Caenorhabditis elegans: one gene and its partners. The protein of the gene in region 1 interacts with the protein of each later gene in a pairwise test. Each region holds a gene or a part of one and is shown in the gene's direction. Other genes may lie near its edges.

Region 1 (7,939 bases):
TACTGTAACTTAAAACTTTTGTGGTATTTTTATCGACTTTTCATGGTTTTTATGTCTTCATATCGTTTTTTTTTGATAATTTTTATTAAAAAAACAAATATATTACCTGCTGTGGTGCACGAACAGTTCTTGTTGATGACGTGCTGGCATGATCTTTGCGAGATCTCTCGCTCTTCAGACATCCACGACTTGAAGAGGAACCGTCAGTTTCAGCCCCGGTTTTGTCTGAAAAAAATAAATTATTGATTTTTATTCAATCTGAATGAAAAATTCGAATTCTTACCATCATTATCCAGTGAAACATCAGATTCGTCAGAAGTGTTATCGAAGAGTCGTCGCGCAGGAGCATCTGGCACATTAACGCCATTATTTGCTGGGTTTCCAAAATTTGAAGATGATGGAATGTCTTTGTTCTGTTCTTCCGATTGAGACATGTTGTAGAATGGTGGAAGACGAAGAAGATGATAAGAGTGACAGTTTAATTACTGAAAATGTGCGAAATTTTATATAGTTTTATTTATTTAGGAAACAGATAGTGAAAGTTTGGGAGGAGTTGAACAGTATAAAATAAGAATGACAGGCAGAATGGCTGGGTAAATATTATTCAAATACAAGTATTTTCAAAATTCCGCAAATTTGAACAAGTTTTCATTTAAAAAACACATTTCGAACGGAAAATTTGGGTAAAAGAAAGCTTGGAACATAGTGAAAAAGGACTTTGCGAACAAATAAATTAAAATTTGCTTGATTTCAATTTGTTTTTTTCATTTTTTACAGAAACAACAAATTTCACAGCAGCGTTCTCCTGACTATCACACTTTTTTTTTGAAACAAAAACGAATAAAACAAGCTTGAAATAAAACTTTTGGTACCCAGACGTCTCTGGCCCCAAAAAATTTAAGTTGACGGGTGTCGACAGAGGGAAATGAGTGGCTTTTGGAAGGAGACCTGGGGCCACCAGTCAGCTTCTCGCTTCTTTTTTTTTCTCTAGCACTCTCTCAACTTTACAATACACTCTACGCGCTGCTGCAACTTTTCTGTCAAGTTGTCTGCCGTCTCTTCAGTTGAACTTGGTTTACTTTCGTGGCGAGACACATCAAAGTGACGGCCGACATGTGCCTTTGAGGCTGATGAAATTATTCCCGCAATTTCCAGAAATTTTTGCACTGATTCTGAAATAAAATGACGTTGCAATCTTTAATTTTACTCTTCGTTGTTCAAAAACTTTTCAATTTTATTCTCGTTACAATATTTCACTCTTCATTGACCAAATTTCGCAAATAGAGCGCTTAAATTCAGATTTTAAGTTAAGCATTTAAAATTAATACTCTTTTTTTTTAATAATAATAATAATTTATTACGCTCGCTGGGAGACGTGAAGGAATATAGAATACAAAAGTTATCATTGTTCGCTCGAACTAGAATTGGTGCAGTCGGGCAATCGTTTCCATTCCATTAGAATGTTGTCCTTGTCCTTGCGTTGTCCTTGCGTAGACTCCCCCATAGTGGGCGAGCGATTCCCGAGTGAAAATAATCACGGAATGCCATTTTTAAGCGATGCCATTTTCTATTTCTTGAACTATATATTTTTAAGAATATTTTAATCTGCGCTTTATCATGGATTTTCAATTCAACTTTATATTACTTTTCTAACTTCAATATAAAATTATTTAATAAATATATTTTTATTTTTAAGAAAATGTCCGAGGAGATCAAGCCTTCTGCTCCAGATGCGCCGACTGCTTCGCCAATTGTGACCAGAGACGAGCAAAATTTGGTTGTCTCATTCCTTCAGTTTATCCGCCAGAAGGTTTCACAAAATCAGGCCACTGCCGAGCAAGCGGAAGCTCTTGAAGGTTTTTTCCTATTTATTTCTATAAATTTAGCTTAAGATATATTAAAATTTCAGTTGCAATTCAATGTCTCGAACACTCGTTTGGTCTTGATGATGCCTCATACGCTTTCCAACCATCACGCCCAATTCTCGAACTTTTCAAGAGCGCCGAAGGACTTCCAGAGGGAGAATCTGCTCTTCCAACACCGAGCGATAGTGATATTTCTCAAGCTAACAAGCTTAAAGAAGAAGGAAACGATTTAATGAAAGCCTCCCAATTTGAAGCTGCTGTTCAAAAGTACAATGCCGCCATCAAGCTCAACAGAGATCCAGTCTACTTCTGTAACCGCGCTGCTGCTTATTGCCGCCTGGAACAATATGATTTGGCCATCCAAGATTGTCGTACAGCTCTTGCCCTTGATCCATCTTACTCAAAAGCTTGGGGAAGAATGGGTCTTGCATATTCTTGCCAAAACAGATATGAGCATGCCGCTGAGGCATACAAGAAGGCTTTGGAGCTTGAACCAAATCAAGAGAGTTACAAGAATAATTTGAAAATTGCTGAAGACAAATTGAAGGAGCTGGAAAGCTCGCGACCGGCACCAGGTGCCAATCCATTGGCTGGGCTTTTGGGAGCCATGGGAGGAGGACCGGGAGGAATGCCGGCTATGCCAGGAATGCCAAACATGCAAAACCTTATGAACGAGCCAGGACTTATGCAAGCTGCTTCACAGATGATGAGCGATCCAGCACTTTCTGATATGGTAAGTATCAAATTTTCGGGAATAAAAGATTTAATTGAAATGGCAATGCACGTGGCCGTCAAAATTAATTGTTTTTCATTATTATTGCTTGTTTTTTGATGATGTATGCTCTAAAATATTGAATTTTTCAGTTCAACAACATGATGTCTGGAAATGGATCAATCGCTGATTTGATGGCTGCTGGCCAGCAAATGGCTGCTCGCATGCAAGAGACCAATCCAGAACTTATTGAAAATCTTCGACGCCAATTCGGCCCCGGAGCCGATGGAGGAGCACCACCACCAAACCCACCACAATAGATAATCTCTTCCGCCAATCTCCTTCCGCATCACGAATTTCCATTTCGTTATCTCTCTCTCTCTCTCTTTCCCCTTCTCTCGTCTTTACTTTCTGCTCTCATGTGATTTGAAAAAGCCGAAGTCGCTTATGGTTACTCGTTTTTTTTAGTTTCTCTCGCAGAATTTCCCCTTACAATGATGATGTTATAATCGCCCCCGATTCAAGCCTTATCGAAATATTGTTTTTAATTAGATGGTCATGTTTTAACTACCAACAAAAAATTGGGTCAATTTTCTTTTTTTTCACGAATAATAAATATTGTCGAAATATTCTTTCCATCACAGACACACTGGTTGCAAACGCGCTCCAACACGAAATTATCGATTTGCACCCAAACGAAAGATAGCGCGGGAGTACTCACATTTTCTTTATTTTTGATTTTTTTGTTGAAATATTTTAGTATTAAATTAAACAATTTAAATTGTAAAAAACCTCAAATTTGAAAATAAATTCAGAATGCAACGCCACGAAAGGATTCGATTTTTCATAACTGAACAATGTCGTAATCTGGATCCAACGTATAGAAATTATGTAGGAATTTAATTTTCTGTCAATCTAAATTCTTTTAAAAGTTATTTTCAGATGTACCCGAAACAAATTCTTCTCGGTGACGTTCCTCTACCACTTCTCCCTAATTCTTCACTGACGTTTCGAGTCAATTCAGCTGTAAGTAGAAAATTTATTGCGTGACGAGCATTATTGTGTTTTAAAAACTCTAAAAATGATCAAATAAATTTAATTTTTTTTAGGAAAAAATCTGCTTCCGTATTCGACTTTCGATTGATGACAGCCAGGAACCATTGAATATTGGAATTCCATTATCACAAGTTGAAAGTGTTTCAATTAAAGATCATAGTGCGAAACATCCAGAACCTGCTCTTCTTTTTTTACTTAAGAAAGGAGCTTTAGAGAGATTTATTCAGGTACACTATAATTTTTTCGATTTTCGCACGACAAATTTTTGTAAAATGAAAGAAGGTGTGCGCCTTTGAAAAGAGTACTGTAATTTCAAATTCTCGTTTATGCAGAATTTTTATCGATTTCCATAGATTTTCACTAACAACTTGTGTTTGAAAAAACACATGAACTCGTCAATTCACTGCAAAAAAATTCGAAAAAATTGAAGATTCCGTAGCAACGAAAGTTTGAAGTTACAGTATTATTTAAAGGCGCACACCAGTTTTCACTTAACGGACAATTTTCGTGTCGAGACCAGACCCCGTATAAAACGAATTATTTCAGGTCTGTAATCCACTATTGGGCGAACTTCACACATATCATGGACGAAAACGTAAAATGCTGACATATCTAACAGTAATTCTCGGAATGGATCCACACTTGGAGCAACCGAATCCAGTTTATTGCCGTGTTTCATTAATGGCTAACAAATTCACATTCCCATTTGGAACAGCGAAGAAAATTTTATTAAAAGATGTGAGTTTTGATTTACCGCGTTTTCTAAAAAAAACACCAACAAAAACGTTTTTTCCCGGGGAAAAAAGACGAAAAATGAGTTTTATTCATCTGAAAATACATGAAAAATTAGATTTTTTAAATTAAAGATTTCCCAAAAAAATTATCAGAAAATTTCCAATTTTTCCATAAGAAAACGCAAAGATGTATATTTTTCAACTAAAATATTGCGATTTTTCCAAGAAAAAAAACTATTAAAAATAAATACAATCCAATTTTCCAGTTACCAATAATGTGGCAAGAAGTCTTGGATAAACAATACGATCGTCGTCTGAAAACTGGAATTCATCATGATAGAGAACGAATGGCAGAGATGGATGATGAAGCATGGGATTGGCTTATGTCATTTCTAAATGTTAAATGGGACAAATGTCCCAGTGGTGGACGTTGGTTCGTTAGAGATAAGGATGGTACGTTTTTTTTTTGCTCCGAAAACATTAATAGCCAGTTGTGAAATTCGGTGATTTCGAATAAAAATACGGTACTCGGTCTCAACACGACTAGAACTTAAAAGCTACCGTACCCAGAAGTATTTTGCAATTTCCTAAAATGTGGCAATATTAATTTTTTCATAGAAATACCAAGTTTTTTTAGCACTATAAATCTTGAAAAATTTAAGGAAAAATTGTGGAATACTTGTGAGTTTTGTAGCTGCAAAGTTTCTTGAAAATCGAAAAATTAAAACTACCATAACTACAATGCAATCTAATTTCAGAACTCGAAACTTCAGTCAACGAGCATAATGAGTAAGTTTCCTATATTTTACAACTAAAATTAACTCTGAATTTCCAGAAATCTTGCAATCAAACGAGAAGCTTCACCACAAGATGATCTACTGGCTAAACCAATGAAGCAAATAAAATATTCCGATTCAGATGTTGGTTCTCCAAATTCTATATCTTCGGAATCTTCAGCTTCTATTATGACACGATAAAACACTCGTTTAAAAATCATTTGTTTTCAACCCCGCTAGAACACTTTTTACTATCAGTTTTCCATCTAATTCTTCACCAAAAAATCAAAAATCGATACTCACAGCTGCTCCTTTACAATTTCAGCCGTTGAGTTCTCATCATGACTGGAAATGTATCATTTGGCTGAGTCTATTCAGCGACATTAACCATTTCAACTTTTTTGGCATCAAATGTTTTATAATTTTATTCTTATTTTACTGCACTTTATTGTCATTAATGGCTCAATAAAAATGTTAATAATCAAGTTTTAAACACTGAGACATGCCAGGAGTAAACATTTTCAGATACAGTACCCACAAGAACGGTAGACTCGAAATTTGAATTTTTCAGAGGAAAACAGTAGTTTCACGAGCTGAAAACAAATTTTTTGTGTTGATAAAAGTCCAAAAGCATTTCTGTTCAGAAATTAATTCCAAAATTAATTTATCGTAGACTCAGAATCCGTTGTAGGAGTCTATGACTCCAGGCTCGTCTCTCGGACTCTGAATATCAAAAGACGAAGTGAAGAAGCTTATTGAGATGGAGGAGAAGCCGAAGGAACTTTGGAAGAACTCGTTTTGGCAATTTGCATTTCTATTAACTATTGAATAAATGATTATATGTACATAATATCAACTAGGACCCTTTGGGTCCTGCAAATCATATGGGCCTTCAAATGGCCTGAAATGCCGTATGGGACCATATTTAGCTTAAAAGCTGAAAGGTTCAATACAGAAAAAACAAGGAGATTTCGATTTATTGCACAAGAAGTCTATTAAAAACAAATTGAACTTTCTTATTAAGCCTTCTAAAGGTTGTATTCGATTTGGAGATCCACACAAGCTCCTTTAGGGACCAAAATTTAAAAGCTGAAAAGTTTAAGACACAAAAAACTGAACTTTCAAATTTCATTTATTGAACGTATTGCAAGTTCACAGATCCTATGGGTTGTACTCAATTGGGAGGTTCTTGCGACGGACCATACCGTCTCCTTGGAACCATTCCCGACGGAATTGCTTAGCAGCACCATCCGGGGTGTTGGTCCACTCAACAGTGATACGATCGTTGTTAGTGTCCTCCTGTCCAAAAGCGAAGGCATCGCAGGAAACTGCCAGAAGAACAGCTTCCTTTGGATCGAGCACTCCACATGGTGGATCAACTCCAAGTCTCTTCATATTGGTGGTCTTGATACCGTATCCAATACGGCGAGCCGAGGAGTTAATCACCTTGATGTGGTAGGTGTGCTTGTCGTCGTATGGTGCATTGAAGACGATCTTCGTACCCGGCTGGGTCTGGATCATACCTGTGCGGCATTCGGAATTTTTCGGCATAACGGCATAACGGCATATGCCGCCAAAAATTTTTTTCGGCATATCGGCATATGCCGATATGCCGTCCATTTTTCTTTTCGGCAAAACGGCATTTTCGGCATATGCCGTGAATTTTGAAATCGGCATTTCGGCATATGCCGCGCTCCAAAAACCAGCATTATGCCGGCATTCGGCATTCGGCATTTCGGCATTTTTAATTTAATTTAATTTAATTTATTACGATAGTAAAATATCGTGAGGTAGAAAAAAAAACACACATTAATAGATACAAACCATCACAAGTGGTTACATAAATAAATTACACAAATAAAACGAAACAAAAATAAAAAGAGATGAGAAGAAAATGATGGCTACATTGGAGAAGAAGCAAAAACAGAAATATCGATGTATAAATGGCAAGAATAAATGATGGATAGAAGTGAGGATAAGGTAACATTAGATCAGTGTTGCTTCATTGTGGGTAGTGTTCTGTTAACAAAAAAGTGTCTCCTAAGTTTAGATTTTCCTGTGCTCCAGATATATTTCTTTTTAGAACGAGTGTGGGTCTCTTGTTGCTCAAAAAACTCAGATGTTTTTAAGTCTACTTTACCAGTATTCATTCTGATTATTTGGATTCTGTCAATTATTTTACGTCTCGTGCTTAAGGTTTGGAAGTCGAATAGTTCGTTACGTTCCATGGCAGTTTTGTAATCTTTATCAGTTGGATTAATATATCTTTTTTTGATTCTACTATAAAGGCGCCTAGTGAATGCGTTTTGTACAGACTCTATTGCTTTCTCATCCGATTTTTTTGTCGGAGAAGACACTACTGTTCCATATTCTAAACGAGGGCGGATGAAAGTTTTGAATAAGAGAATCATTAGTTTCTTATTGGAGGTACTGTACTGGTTGAACATGTTGGCCAGTTGAAATTTAGCTAGATTGATACATTTCCTCCAATGCTCAGAGAAATCCAGCTTTTCAGAGATTAAAAATCCAAGGTCTCGGGTAATAGCTTTTCGCTCAATAGGGTAACCGTCTAGGTGGTATTTGAAATCTATTCTACGTTTTCCTACTGTGACGTGAACTGTCTTAGATTGGTTTAGAGTGAGTTTTGATCCCCTTGTCCAATCTACTACAGCATCTAGAGCAGACTGTAAATTGTTTTCGCTTTCAGTCTTAGGGGTCGATACATACAATTTCGTGTCATCTGCAAACTGCTTACATGCTACTTTTTCGGGTAATATTGATGATATATCATTAACA
Region 2 (7,252 bases), on another chromosome or scaffold:
TTTCAAGTGAATTTTTTCCATTTCATAAATCACCCATTTACCGCGGTTCATCAGTCGGTCACTCTTCGCTCATCGCGGCTCATCGCGACTCACCGCGGCCGATACACTCTTAAACACCAAAACACTCAACCATCCTTCGCCATTTCTTGACTCACCGCGCTCCTTCCTCCACCACTGAGGCATCGGTCGTTCACCGCGGCCCCTTCCCTCACTCATCAGGCACCGTTCGCTCACCGCGCTTTACCTGTGGAGGATGAGGGAAGCCTAGCTCCTCGGTGTGTGTGACTTTTCTGACCTAGATTTACAATTTAAAAACAAAACGGTACACGGAAATAAGTAATGACTGTTGAAAAACTGCTTATTTTATTGCATTTGTTCAATTTATTTTATTTCAAAACTATTTCAATTTTTAGGCTTAGAAAACAACACTACTAACTATAAGCCCCTGAAATTACAAAAAAAGTTCACGTTTCATTAATGAATATATCCAAAACATTTTGGGGGGGGGGGGGGCAGAAATCGGAAAAGTACCGAATATTCTCCTAATCAGTTTAATAAGTCAATGGTGGAAAGGTTTAGTGTCAATAATGGCAATAATGCCTTATCGAGTTGGTATTCTGTTTGATAACTCGGAGTCTATATTAGTATATTAGTTGGTGGACCGCCGAGCTATCAGATGTGGTTCAAGCAAGTAGTTCTTCCACTTTATACATACCAGAAAATAACAAAGGTACATCCCATGCATTCTTCTTAACCAAGTAATTGCTCTTGCAGATCGGTCCACAACTCCCCCGGCTCCGTAGTCTTGCGTTATGCGGCTTGAAGTTCTATAAAACAGAATTCTCCAAGCTGTGCCCGAGTTTTATGAATTTGTATTGCTTAGATATCAGCTACACCAATGTTTCAAATCTTCAAGGGATCTCTAATTTGCAAAATCTCAGACAGCTCTCACTTCGAGGCTTGGAGTTTAAGAGAACACAAGATCTCGAGGAGCTCTTCACTTTAAAACATCTTAAGGTGTTGGATATGTCAAGCAAGTTGTAAGTTTTTGGATTTTCTTGGATTTTAAGATTTTGAAAGTTTCAAAAAATTGTTATTTGCAGAAACAACGCCCACTAGACCAACATAAGAGCCTTCTTAAACTGCAACAAGGTTCTTCCGGATTTCCTACCAAGGAATACTGAAATGATTTTGAAATGATTTCGAAATTTCCACTCTTTAAGATTAAAGTAAAACCTTCCAAAATATGTCCTTCTGGAGCCAGCCATGGCTCACCGGACTTTCTAAAAAGAATTACAAGTTTTTTTTAAAAATAAAGCTCCTCAAACTATGTATGATCCCATTGAAACAGTTTTTCTATGATTTTTGATTGTTTTATTTAATTATAGGGGACAGTGATAGATTCGGAGATTAACTTTCAATTAAAAAATTTTTTTATTAAAAATCGTTTTGAAATGGTAAAATGTTTATTTTTCTACAATTTTTGTCAATCCAAACCTTTTCGCATATTTCAGCGTCTTCCGTGTTTTCTTTTCCAATCATCTTTTTGAATTGATTCAAGTTGAACACTTGTAACCAAATTGACCATAATTTGCATATGGTTGTTCTTTTCATACGACTTCTTCATCTAATTCAGCAGGTTTTACCTCATTTCCACTAGCAGATATGAACGTTGAACACTTTTTCAGTACCGGTCGGTGCACTCATGTGTACATATCAAATGTCAAATAAAAATTCAGTATCTAGCTATAGCTATAGTTGAAAGCTTTGTTTCAAAAATTTAAGTTAGAATGTGAGTTTTAAATATTACTTTAGCATATTCTGGCATTGTATCTCAACATGCTTGATATGATTTTTTAATGATCTGTTACTGGAGAATCAAATTGATATCAATAGGAATGGTATATTTTTAACTATATACAACCGTATTGCTTATTTAGCTGCTCATCCCAAGCTAAAAATCGACTATTCAAACAAATACCTATATGGAAAAAACCATTCATATAGTAACTGTAGAGCTATAAAAGATTAGCGAATTTAATAAATTTCCGAGCTGAATTTAAAAATGCTCTTTTATCTCCTCTCTGCTATAATCTTCACCACTGTAGCTTCTGCTGCACTTACTTCTGCTCCTGCTCTAACAGTACATGAAGCGGGGGGAGCGGTTTTCCAAAATTTAACTGAAAAAGCTCTATTTGACTATTTCCAAATCGGTTTCGATCAGACATTGACTATTGCCGAGAGGGACCAAAAGAGCGCTGAATGGGCGGAGAAGCACGGAATTGCTGTAAGTTTACAAAAAAAAACTCCGATTTTGCTAAATGAAAAAAATCTCACCTCTTTCTTGAAATGAAAGTTAGTATATCTCTCAACATTTTTTGCTCAATCTGCAGCAAAGTTTCAAAAATATTTAGGACTAAAAATCTAGGTTCGAAAAATTTTACCCGGTTCGCCATTATTCGGTAAACAGGGCCGTATATATAATATATAACAAAACTTTCATCTTCCAGGACAAATGGGCTGTATTCTATTCAACGTGGCAAGCCAGAGAGGAAAAGTTTAACAAAATAAAAACCACTGTATTCGAAAGACTCCCATCAACTTACAAAAAGCTTTCTGAGATCATTGCCAACAAAAATCAAACCCTTTCTCAAGTTGGAACCGCAATTCAAGAACTCGACGAAAAGTTCAACTTGGAAGTACAACTCATCTTTATTCTGTCGAAAATTCTCAGACTAAATGAGAAAATTGTGATGAACGGTGGACTGAATGAAGTTGGAAATGAGGCTACTGAAAATTCGTTCAGAAGAATGAGGGATTTTGAGGGAAGAAGCATGGATGTGAAAGCTCTCATGATTCCAGGACCACTATAAGCTATAACTTTTTTTGGAAACATTTTAATGTTTGTATATTTGGAAATAAACTATTTACTTGAAGTCTTATATTAACACTGTTAAAAACCAGAAAATGTCGAAAAACCAAACAATAATAAAGGAGAAAAAGTAAGAAAAAGTTTAAAAACTTCACGGGACAAGACGAAAAATTCAAATTTTGGTAGCAACTATTCAAGAACTTGAAAAAACCAATTGTAAAACCACTCGAGAGGTTTGCGGCAAATGTTCCAAATTTAACGGTGGGCAAACTCGGCGAATTTTGAAATTTTCTGCACATCTGAAAATGTTGTTTTATTGATATTTTGTCTAAACCAGATGGTTTCAATTAAAAAATTTGAATAAAATCACCTAAAACCGTGTATGTTTTTTCGTCAATAATTTATTCAAGAAATCCCTTTATGCAAAAATTTAATAACTCGTGCTAAGTTTTTTCGTCCATTTTTCCACTTTTCCGGCTGAAAAGTCAGTGAAAAAATATCGCAATTTATCGAGTTTGGCGACCACGGCAGATTTTCCAAATTTGCCGTTATCGGCACTAAAAATGTATTTTGTCAATTACGATAATAACGTGCATCACTGCCATTAAAGTTTTCACTTCTCGTAATGTGCACGAAAAAATCCTAGAATTTAAAAGTTGACTCTTTGAAAAACATTGCTCCGAGTATGTTGTAGGGAAAATTCGGACAACCACGACTCCATCTGTAATGTAATCGAAAATCGATAAATAATTCAGATTTTATTTACAATTAGATAAAAAGTTGATACATCAGAAAACATGAACATTTATCACAATTCATTGGAAGTTTAATTACAGTTTCTTCTCAATTTTTATTAAAGTCTCCCAGATATCATTCAAAATAAATAATTCGTTTCTGTATTTTTTCTCCAGTTCCATCGAGTTTGCAACAAATTCATGAAATGTTTGATTTTTGTTGAGACTTATGTCTGTCAGTGCTTTGAAAATGATCGGCAGTCTTTCAAGCAGTTCATTCATATTTTTCATTTTTTTCAGCTAGTCAGTCGTCGTTTAATATCATCTGATCCCATTTGTCCTAAAAACGGTTTCTGTTTAATGAAATAATATTTGAACATCTGACCTTGCATCTATTTGTCAATTGTATCTGATATACAAGATTATTAATAGAATCCTTTTTTTTTAATTTACATTTTTCAAAAGAGGACAAAAAGGAGGGGTTTTTCCAAGTTAAAAAATTAGTATAGGTTACTGAAGAAAAAGTGATAATATTCATCAATTGAGAGATCTGAGAGATACTGAGGGCCTATAAAAGCCCGGCAAGGTTGGAGCCCGGCAAGGTTGGCTTCGAAAAGAAAACCCGAGAAAAAATATAAACTAAGCTTTAGCTGTACCAAAAAGCCTGACCGAGAATGAATCGATTCGAAAATCACGCATTGTTGCTTGTTTAGCTGCTCAGCTAAAAATGGGCTTTTCAAACAAATCCTTATATGGAAATGGTCATTCATATAGTTACTGAGAGCCTATAAAAGCCCGGCAAATTTATAAAATTTCCAAGCAGAATTCAAAAATGCTCTTTTATCTCATCTCTGCTATAATCTTCACCACTGTAGCTTTTGCTGCACCTACTCCTGCTCCTACTCTAACTGTTGCTGAGGAGATGGAGGCAATTTTTCAAAATTTGACGGAAGAAGCTCAAAATGATTATTTCCAAATTCTCTTCGATCACACATTGACCCTTGCCGAGTTGGACCAAAAGTGGGACGAGTGGGCGGAGAAGCACGGAATTGCTGTAAGTTCCCAGAAAACTAGACTGCACTGTGAGCCTTGTAAAATTAAATTTGGGCTTTTCTCAAGTTTCAGTATATAATCCCAATCTAATTCAATAAAATAACTTAACCATTAAAGTTCCATTTTCTAGGACAAATGGGCTGTATACACTTCCAAATGGCAAGCCAGAAAAGAAAAGTTCAATGAGACCACAGTCTCTGTGATTGAAAGACTTCCATCAACTTACAAAATGCTTTCTGAGATCACCGCCAACAGAAATCAAACTCTTTCTCAAGTTGAAACCGCTTTGGAAGAACTCAAGGAAAAATTTAATTTGGAAGTTCAACTTATCCTTATTCTGTCAAAAACTCTCATTCTCAATGAGGAAATTGTGTTGGGCGGTGGACCGATTGAAGTTGGAAATGAGGTCACTGGAAACTCGTTCAGAAGAATGAGAGATTTCAAGAATAAAAATAGAGATGTGAAATCTCTCCTGATTCCAGGACCACTTTAAACAACTGCTTTCACGTTTTTTTGTTGGACTTTTACACTTTTTGTATATGTGGGAATAAATTATAATTTCTAATACACAGTATGAATTATGATTGTTTATTAAAATCAGATATCAAAGTTCAAACATATAAAAATAGTCAAATATTTCTGTAAAATACTGTTTGGAAGGCACAAGGTTGACTAATTCTATTCGAGGCAACCTACGTACCTATTGTTAAAACATAATTTTTATAATACAGAGCAACAGACATGTGCAGGTCAGGTTTGCAGGCAAGGTAGACCTACCTGTTTACTTTGGTAATCTTGCAAAAACAATGTACCAATATTCGAGCACTTTGGCTTATAAATTTTCGCTGATGGACTGCATAACTTTTATTTTAAAAAAACGAAAAAACTGTTTAATACGTCGATGGCAGTATACTTCCGTTTATGCTTTGAAATTATTGTGGAATATTAAAAGTAAGAGTAGCTTTGCCATTGCTAATGACGTATTGAGTTACATCTTCGCCGTAGAACGTGAGTGGAAGTTGCGAATTGATTGTTGAACCACTGAAAAGAACATAACATTTAGGAACTGTAAACCTTGCTAGCAGACGTACTTGTATGTTGAATCAAAGCCGAACGCAGTTTCAGATCCGTAGTAGACTTTCATTGTTGCACTCTGAAATTACGAGTTTAAAAATTAAAAATGATTTTAAAGGCATACCGGGTCCATTTTAATATCAACCAAAGTTTCGTTGCTTCGGGAGGCATATAAAGAAAGAACGGCAGATTTTCCATCACCACCATCAACAGAAGCGGAACATGTTGACACGCCGTAACAGTTAAGTTCGACGTAGTCAACAAAGTTTGCATCTGAAAACTTTAGATATAAAAAAAAGAGAAAAACGCCAAGAGTATCATACATTGTATATCTTGAACTAACAGAATGTCGGTTTTGTTGCTGGCCTCCAAGTTTACGATATAGACCATGCTGCCTTTAGAAACCCATTGCTGGTGCGTTTCATAGAGCGTGTACAAGCTGAAAATTGATTTTTTTTTTCTCAACATTTTTGTTTAAAAAAACTCACTTTGCAACAAAGTTTCCATTGTAATCTTGTCCCTCAAAAACAAGAGAGCTTCTCAGGGAATAATAGTCATTTGGATCGGCTGGAGAGACGAAAAGAGCAACTTTGTCTGAACTGAAATCGGCCGCAAACAGATCCTGTGTGATATTAAGGACATGTGGCTGCATTCCAATTCCGGCGATGTATGATATTTGGGTGGTATCTGGAATCTATTAAGGTTAAACATAAGATCACCCAGAGGGCATAAGAATTTGGGTGCGAAACCTCGGTGGGTTTTTACCACTTCTAAGGCGCTTTTTTGCGGATTGGTTACTTCCGGAACGACCGAATATCATATTAAAATACTCCAAAAAATTTTAGATTTTTCATAATTCCCGGTCAGTTTTGGCAGATTGCCAAAGTTTTGAAAAACATAAGTTTTTAAGGAAATCCAAAGCAGTATTGTATGTACCGACCCCTACAATGTTTCGATACAAATAATTTTTAAAAAATTACAGTATAAAAATGTAGGGAAAAAAAGTTGTTTTTGGTCGACTTCCGAAATTATGAAGGGTAAAAACTGGATAATTTTCACTTTTTGACAGTAAATAAACATTTTTCAAAAAACTTTTGAAAACTTTTATTGTGATATTCGGTCATTTTAGCACCATAGGAGTGGTTTTTATAACTTTCCCCACTGGCGCTGCTCCACCTCAATCAAAATTTGCCTGTTTTAAATTTTTTAGGGTAACCCCCAAATACTATTAAAACTTCCAAACTTACACGGAGCCCATTCAATTTTAAATGCAAACGTGGCAGCTGCTTCATTCGACACAACTAGAGTGAACTTTGGCGATGGGAAGTAATATGGATGCTTTGTCTCCAATTTTGTTCTGAAAACTTAATTTTCTCATATTCACAAACCGGGAAACCCCTTACTGAACAACGTTTCCAGTGCAGTCAACAGTTTGGAAGTATGAATGCTTATCACCCATTTTTCCACTAATCGTCAATTTTGCATAGTATCCTTGGGGAATAGTGACCATCCAGCTACA
Region 3 (7,891 bases), on another chromosome or scaffold:
ATTTGTACGGTAGAAGCGAGAAGAAGCTTTTGGAGGCCAGAGAGACTATCAAGAAAAATCTAATTCGTGTCGCTAGCAAGAAGAAGACCGACGTTCCGATGGAACCAGCAGCCTTGGAGGAAATTGCTCAGATTCAACTTGATTTGCTCCAGATTCATACTGATGTAAGTCTTAAGTTTAAGCTTAGGCTTAAGCTTAGGCTTAAGCTTAGGCTAAGACTGAGGCTTATGCTACACCTTAGGCTGTCTACACCCGGTCTATAAAATCTGGAAGTAAAATATTTCAGATTCCGTCCGCTGCCGAAGATGCTGCAATGGCGATTGAGGCTGTGGCCGAAAACTTGGATCTGAAACTTGACATCTTCCAGACAATTCAGAAAACTTGCCCACAGTGAGCATTAAATTTTTTTAAAACATTTTTATAATTTTTTTTTCAGAAACTGCATGCTTATCACGAACACCTCGTCTCTAAAACTGTCTCAAATGCTCCCAGTTATTCAGAACCCGGCACTATTCGCTGGGCTTCATTTCTTCAACCCTGTTCCAGTGATGAAGCTTGTAGAAGTTGTATCAACTGATGAAACTTCTCCAGAGACCACAAATTTCTTGTTCAACTTCTGCAAAGAAATCAAAAAGCTGCCGGTCGCCGCGAAGGATACTCCTGGATTCATTGTCAACCGGCTATTGATCCCATATCTTATGGACTCCATTCGCATGCTGGAACGTGGAGATGCAACTAAAGAAGATATCGATACAGCCATGCGATTTGGAACTTCTTACCCAATGGGACCAATTGAATTGTGTGACTATGTTGGACTTGATGTTCTGCAGAGCACTTTGAAAAGTGAGATTTACCAACTCCTTTTCTAGGTTTTATTGAACCCTTTCTAATCTTTCAGTCTTCCGCGAAACCATCCCTGGTGACGCCCGTTTTGCACCAATCCCACTTATGGACAAATTGGTCGCTGAAGGAAAGCTTGGCAGAAAAACGAAGCAGGGATTCTACACGTATTGAACACTTTTTGAGCATATTTTTTGTGTACACTACTTGCCAGCTTTTTGATGTATATTTTGCTTCTTACAGGTCATAGTTTCAGAGAAATAAATATTTACATTTGAAGTTTTTGATAATCTAGAATTTTTGTAATAATGTCCATAACATGGAAAATGTCTAAATTGGCACATTGAAGTAATTCCCAAGTTGAAGTAAGTTGTCTCAGGAAAAGTACACTACCGAACTGGTGCAACTCTATATTTACTAAAAATAAATTTCTGGAACAGTTTTTTGGTATTTTTCAAATAAGCTAATATATTTTCTTTGTAATATTCAAGAGCGTATCTATTAAATTTATGTTTTCAAATGTAAATTAGAAATTCTTAAATATTGCCAAAAAATAATTTAAAACAATTTTTTGAAAAACGATTCAAAGATTATTCACAATAAGATTATTGAAAAATATATGATAAGACGTTTGTAAAGTTTAGTTTCAGATCAATAATAAAAATTGTTATATTTTGCTCATGAATTATTTATTTGCTTATAAAAAAATCTTTTAGATAAATTCATCTATAACCTCTCAAATTCTTCTTTCTCTTCTTTTTCCTCCTTCTCTGGTAGTTGTGACAATTTCCTGCCAACCGTTGATAAGCTATTGGTTTTCACCAAGTAATAAATAAAGAACATATGACCACAAGAGACGAACCCGTAAGAAATAAATATACAAATTGCAAAAGTTGCCGGTAATGGGAGAATAATGACTAGAACATCTTTTAAAACGGAGAACGTTTGGCACAACGCGTTGTGCATTCCGAATACTGTATTTCGTTCTCGTTCTGGGATGGTGACTTGCATTATGTGAGTGATAGCCAGATCCAGGCACCACAATCCTGAAAATTGATTATTAAAATTAATTTTTAAAAAATTCCTGATTTTTTTGACATTTCCTAATATGTATTAGTTAAAACTTGAAATTTGACCGGCTTTTCAAGCGGCTGGAAACAATTTTTTTTTTGTAATTACTGTCAAATTTTGAGTACAAAATGTAATTATGTTGCGTTTTCAACTTGAGATTTTTAATTTTTTTAAACCAAAACTTGCCGTCCATCGACTTTAAAATACCTATATGAAGTTAAAACACAAGATAATTACATTGTATACTTAAATTTTGACCATGGTTTCAAAAAAAGATAGTTTCCAGCCGCTTGACAAGTCGGTCAAATTTTCAATTTTAACTAATCTTAGCCCATTTTTTGAGCCGTCATAACTTTTTTTTGAGAATTTTTCAAGGAGTTTCATTATAAAATTAGGAGTTTTCAGACAATTTTGAGCCTGATAAGGTAATAAAAAATTCGACTACACCACCTTAAAAAAAACCCAAACTCACCATATCTTGCGGATGCAATCGCAATCAAGAACACAAAGATGCTGGCCAAACTGACACCATCAGACGAAAAGTGCTTCCAATCAACATGTGGGTCCAAGTTTGTAGCGTTATTCCCGTCGAAAGAGTGAACCATATCGTGCCACCAAGTTCCCATAGTGAAGTTTCCAAAGTATCCACCAAGGTTCATAGGAGATCCCGGGAGGAACACGGATATAACTGCTAGAACCGCAAAAAACTGCTGAACAACCAATCCCAGTAGTCCTGAAGTGGCGACACTGTATCGCTTTTCGAAGAATGCGTAGGAAAACGCTCCAAGGATCGCAGTCACGGATCCATAGGATCTGAATGCTCCGATAACAAATTCCGGAAGCCCTACACTTGAGCCATATCCTACAGCTAATCCATCAAATCCCATCACTGTCATGAATAGAAGACTCATTCCAAATGCAGCTGGGAATGAGATCTGGCACCAGTACGTGTAAACCACAGATTCTTTGAGCCTTGAATTGGCGAATGGGTCTAGCGCTTCATCTTTCTTGTCTTTCTTCACTTGAAGCAGAGGATTGGAGATGTAGATTGCTCTAAGGAAAATGGTTTTTGAAGCCATTGAAACAAGAGAGGCTATACCAAATATTCCAACTGTTTCACGAAGACCAACCCAGGTCACCAGAGCCTTAACTTAGTTTGTTTTTACTTTGGAATTAAAAAGCGAACACAGAACTAACACCAGTTACTAACGGTGCAATAACATTGGTACATTGATCCAATGTCAACAGAGTTGCGTTCATATTCGACAGTGTACCATCATTTCCGAGTACCATAACCCAATCTCTGCCTGTGATGAACTTTTCCGCGTTCAGGAAAAGCCGGTTCACCGCGCATATGCACATTGCTAGAACCAGGCAGACTATGTACCACGGTGACGTGGCATCGATAGACAGACAAGCTTAAAATATTTTAGCTTCGAGTACCTACATCAGTGTCAAATTAGAACTCACTGATAATAAGAGCAGCTGCAGCACAAATACTCAAATTGTTCAACGGTACGACGGTCATGATTGCTGAAATTGAAAACTTGATTTTCTCTTACAAATACTCACGAAATAAGTATTTGATTGTAGTTTTTGTTAGGTCAATGTGATACTTGAACAAATCATTTTTGCAGTAATCGAAATTTGTAAAAATGAATCGTTCACGTGGAGTCAGAACGTCCCATTTTGCTGTGATCTTCGAAAAATGCGAGAGAAGAGACGCAGAGATCTCATCTGATTTTGCATGGTTAAGAGCGTGCTGACGTCACAATTTTTCTGGTAAAATATTCCCATTTGTCGTAGATCGAACCGCAATGAGGCAGGCTGACACCACGGGATCGTTTAGTTGTCTACCGTACCCCGTTTCCTCGAGAGCCCGTCGAAATGCTTTCCTAAATATCCGCTGAGAAACATTTGCAAGACTCCCTCGAAAAGCTGCTCAATGGAAACCACTCTCATACCACCCATCAGGTCCATACAAAGAGAGACACAGAATGACCAAGCCCTGTCTTCCTGTAAATAGTATCGAAAAATTGAATGTTCATGTTTTTCCACATTGAACTAAAAAACAATTTTGAAGTTTATAAAAGTATGCGAATTTCTTTTTTTTTCTTCCTAGTTTTAAATTCCCTCTACACTCACCAAGCATGTCGAAATATAGGCACAATACAAAAATATGCTCGTTTTCGAAAGGGTGCCACTGTTTCGTCGATTATTCGGTTGTTGAAAAGTCATTGTCACAGGAATCAAACTGGAAATCTCTGCACTTCCATCGCCCGCGACACACTTACTGATTTCCATGTTAGCGATAACCTCTATATATTCTGTGATAACGGGCAGGAAGTTCAACAAAGTGTTGGTGCACATACATCATGAATTTTTTCTCTTGTCAATCAAAGATTATTTGAATAGGCCACTCGAGTGCACTGCTCACCGTCTCTTTTTTTTTCATCTTTGCTCGTCTTACCGAACACTTTTTCACGCGATAAATTGTTTGCCGCGCGGCATGAGAAGGCGGAAGATGGTTGGGATAGTTTCAAGCGAGATGGTATATAAGCCCACAATCAAATGGAAATACTCATCCGATACTTTCGGCTCTAATCATGCGCTTCACCTCCCTCGCCATTGCCTTCTTCGCCTGCGCCCTAGTGGTGTCTGTAAGTTGTGCAAGATCTAAAAATTTGAGTCTACGAATATTAATTTTCAGGGCAATGTGCTTCGTGAGAAGAGACAATGCGGATGTGCTCAACCCCAGCAGAGCCAATGCTCGTGCCAACAGGTTCAACAGACTCAATCGTGCTCGTGCCAATCTGCTCCAGTTCAGCAACAATCCCCATCATGCTCTTGCGCTCAACCACAACAAACCCAGAATGTTCAGGTTACTAGCAAACTTATGCTATAGCTCCAAAGAGAGACTTTCAGGTCCAAACCACTCAATGTGCTCCAGCTTGCCAACAGAGCTGCACCCAACAATGCCAGGCTGCACCATCGGTAGCCCAGTGCCAGCCACAATGCCAACAGCAGTGCCAATCCCAGTGCGCTCCAATGTACAATCCACCAGCCACCACCACACCAGCTCCAGTCGTCCAATGCCAGCCAATGTGCCAACAGCAGTGCCAATCCACCTGTGTTCAGCAACAACAACCAGCTTCCCAATGCCAGCCACAATGCCAGCAACAGTGCAACGTTGCCTGCGATGCTCCAGCCACATCCACTCAGGCACCACAAGTAGTCCACATCCAACTCGAGATCCAACAGGCTCAAGCTCAATGCCAACCACAGTGCCAGCAACAGTGTCAATCATCCTGCACCCAACAACAACAGCCAGCTAACCAGTGCAATTCGGCTTGTAACAGCCAGTGCTCCAACATTTGCCAACAAACTGCTCAAGCCACTCAACAGGTCTACAACCAGAACTCTAACACCAACACCCAAATGTACAATCCATACAACAACAACAACCAAGGTTCCGGATCCGCCAACTGCGCCCCAGCCTGCCAGCCAGCCTGTGACAACTCCTGCACTTCTCAGACTCCAGCTCCAATGTACAACCCATACGATGCCAGCACATCCGCCCCAGCATCTTCCCAAGCTGTGATCCAAATCGTTCTCCAATCCTCCGTCGCCCAGTCCTCCCAGTGTACTCCACAATGCGAGCAGTCGTGCCAGCAGCAATGCGTTCAGCAACAACAACCAGCCGCTCAGTGCCAGTCTGCCTGCCAGGACTCGTGCTCCAGCTCCTGCCAAGCCGCTCAGCCAGCGACTACGGCTTGCCAGCAGAGCCCACAAAGCCCACAAAACTCGTGCTCCTGCCAAGCTAACTACTCTCCATGCGGAAATGGACAGTGCTGTAGAAGAAAGTGAACGGACTCTGAACAATGACTTCAAGTTTTTGTATATAATGAAACCAATTAGTTTCACAAGAACTTAATAAACAACTTTGATATTTTAATTGATTTACATTATTTGGTTTTTTATTGTCTAGAAAATGAACAATGACTACAAAACTTATAGCTGGCTCACAGTTTATTGACTAGATTAGCACTAAAAAATAACATGGCCGCTTTTCAAGGAAAGGTTTTTATTTTATTTTATTTTTTAATGTCAGACTTCAAAACGAGACAAGTGCCATTTAAAAGTGTTCCATAAGGATATATTACTACAAAATTTTAAGCGGCAAAGCTCCACTCTCAACCCCTCTAGCATCGATCTGAAACTGTTACAGTGCACTTCTTCACTACTTTGGAGGCCTGTAGAATTGCTCCAAATTTTTTTTGTTGCAAACTTTCAATGTTTTTCAAAACGGTTAAAAGTAGGTAAGCATTCTGGAAAATTTTTGAAAATTTTTAAATTTTTTCAAAAAATCTGAAAAATTTTTGAACCGAGTGGAGTGGATTGAGGAAATTTTTAGATTTTTTTTTCAAAAATTTTTTAAAATTTTTAAAAATTTCCCAGAATGTAAACTTATTTCTAGCCGTTCTAAAAAACATTGAAAATTTGCACAAAAAAAATCAGGACCAATTCTACTGGCCTGAAACAATTTAAGATCGAAATTTTTGGGGTTGAGAGTAGAGCTTTGCCGCTTAAAATTTTGCAGTGACATAGCCTCATGAAACACTTTCAAATGACACATGATGGTTGCATATTACGAAAAAATGTTTCCTATCGATATGTCTCGGTCACCATAGAACCAAGTCTAATGTGAACACGAGACCATAAGAGACATAGAGAGTGAGACGCATTGCATCTTGTGAGTGAAGAGACCTCTGTGCCTCTTTCTCTCTCATCTATCGATTTGCATTTTGACTTGGCTTTATTTTCGGGGTTTTGTGGATTTTTAGAACCTGAGTTTTGTAGCTTATTTGAAATATCATATTTAATATTTAAAGGTGGAGTAGCGCCAGTGGGGGTTTTGTTTAAATGCACTTATAATGATCCAAAACAACCGAATATCATAATAATAATAAAACACTCCAAAAAATTTTAGATTTTTCATAATTTCTGATCAAAGTTTTGGCAAATCGCCAAAATTTTGAAAAATACGAGCTTTTGAGGAAATCCAAGGCAATGTCGCATGTTCACACCCCTACAATGTTTTAATACAAATAATTAAAACAAAATTAAAGTATAAAAAATGTAGGAAAAAATAAGTTTTTTGGTCGAGTTCCAAAATTACGAGTAGCAAAAACTGTGTAATTGCCACTTTTTGACAGTAAATAAAAAATTTTCAAAAATTTTTTGGAAAGTTTTATCATGATATTTGGTCATTTTGGGACTATAGGAGTGGTTTTTAACAATTTCCCCACTGAGGCTACTCCACCTTTAAATTTGAGGAATCAACCCCCACTGCTCTAATATGGAACATCGTGACGACGACTTTGAATTTGGACATCAATTTGGCGGGGACGAGGAGGAGGAGGAAGAGGAAGAAGCGATTGATGTGGATAGTCCAGATGAGTTGGATGTTGACGCCGAACCTGATGACGACTCTGATATGGAAGTCTATCATATGGAGACGAATGGAGCCGCCAATGGAAATGGAAGACAGGTCATTGGAGAAACGGGTGATGAAGAGGAAGATGATGACTATGATGAAGAAGACGCAATGACTTGGGATTCGATGTCAACAATCAGTGAAGTTGAGGTGGAAAAGGATGATGACGAATGGTATCCATTGATGAAGAGAGATAACGTGTTTCCGAACTTTGCATTACCAACTACCACGTGAGTTTTTTCTCTACGGTTTTTCAAAAAATTGATTTCCGGCAAATCGGCAAATCTCAAAATTTACCGAGCTCGGCAAATTCGGCACAATTGCCGTGCTTAACAAATTCCGAAAAATGTTATATTTTTAAATATTTTTTGGAGCACTAAAAGTACTGAATTCTTAACCCGCGTCTTTTTTTTTTGATTAAGTTCCGTGTGAAAAATGTAAAAATGACTCAATTTTGTGTCATTTTACATAATTTTTGGGGAA

The links. Proteins that work in one complex are often made in the same cells at the same time.
Region 2: the proteins of sgt-1 (region 1) and srlf-4 interact in a two-hybrid assay, tested with the Caenorhabditis elegans proteins (2 studies listed by BioGRID).
Region 3: the proteins of sgt-1 (region 1) and pqn-54 interact in a two-hybrid assay, tested with the Caenorhabditis elegans proteins (2 studies listed by BioGRID).

What each region holds. Positions count from the first base shown.
Region 1 is NC_003280.10:4,897,554-4,905,492, reverse strand, and holds sgt-1 (SGTA homodimerization domain-containing protein), read left to right. Parts: upstream 1-1,696; 5' UTR 1,697-1,699; coding exon 1,700-1,856; intron 1,857-1,909; coding exon 1,910-2,598; intron 2,599-2,729; coding exon 2,730-2,897; 3' UTR 2,898-3,205; downstream 3,206-7,939. Other genes in the region: btbd-10 (BTB domain-containing protein), read right to left, coding at 107-225, 284-434; R05F9.9 (MSP domain-containing protein), read left to right, coding at 3,394-3,468, 3,520-3,603, 3,687-3,860, 4,180-4,371, 4,634-4,820, 5,126-5,156, 5,203-5,344; msp-32 (Major sperm protein 32), read right to left, coding at 6,305-6,664.
Region 2 is NC_003282.8:12,921,550-12,928,801, reverse strand, and holds srlf-4 (SXP/RAL-2 family protein Ani s 5-like cation-binding domain-containing protein), read left to right. Parts: upstream 1-4,369; 5' UTR 4,370-4,438; coding exon 4,439-4,660; intron 4,661-4,789; coding exon 4,790-5,152; 3' UTR 5,153-5,225; downstream 5,226-7,252. Other genes in the region: srlf-5 (SXP/RAL-2 family protein Ani s 5-like cation-binding domain-containing protein), read left to right, coding at 2,066-2,287, 2,511-2,873; C32H11.4 (CUB-like domain-containing protein), read right to left, coding at 5,592-5,700, 5,751-5,812, 5,858-6,006, 6,057-6,172, 6,222-6,420, 6,981-7,090, 7,137-7,252.
Region 3 is NC_003283.11:1,460,497-1,468,387, forward strand, and holds pqn-54 (Prion-like-(Q/N-rich)-domain-bearing protein), read left to right. Parts: upstream 1-4,493; 5' UTR 4,494-4,517; coding exon 4,518-4,571; intron 4,572-4,621; coding exon 4,622-4,792; intron 4,793-4,836; coding exon 4,837-5,778; 3' UTR 5,779-5,864; downstream 5,865-7,891. Other genes in the region: hacd-1 (3-hydroxyacyl-CoA dehydrogenase), read left to right, coding at 1-164, 287-390, 437-843, 899-1,014; fpn-1.2 (Solute carrier family 40 member), read right to left, coding at 1,567-1,886, 2,384-3,056, 3,109-3,329, 3,382-3,444, 3,774-3,927, 4,057-4,149; gid-8 (CTLH domain-containing protein), read left to right, coding at 7,271-7,638.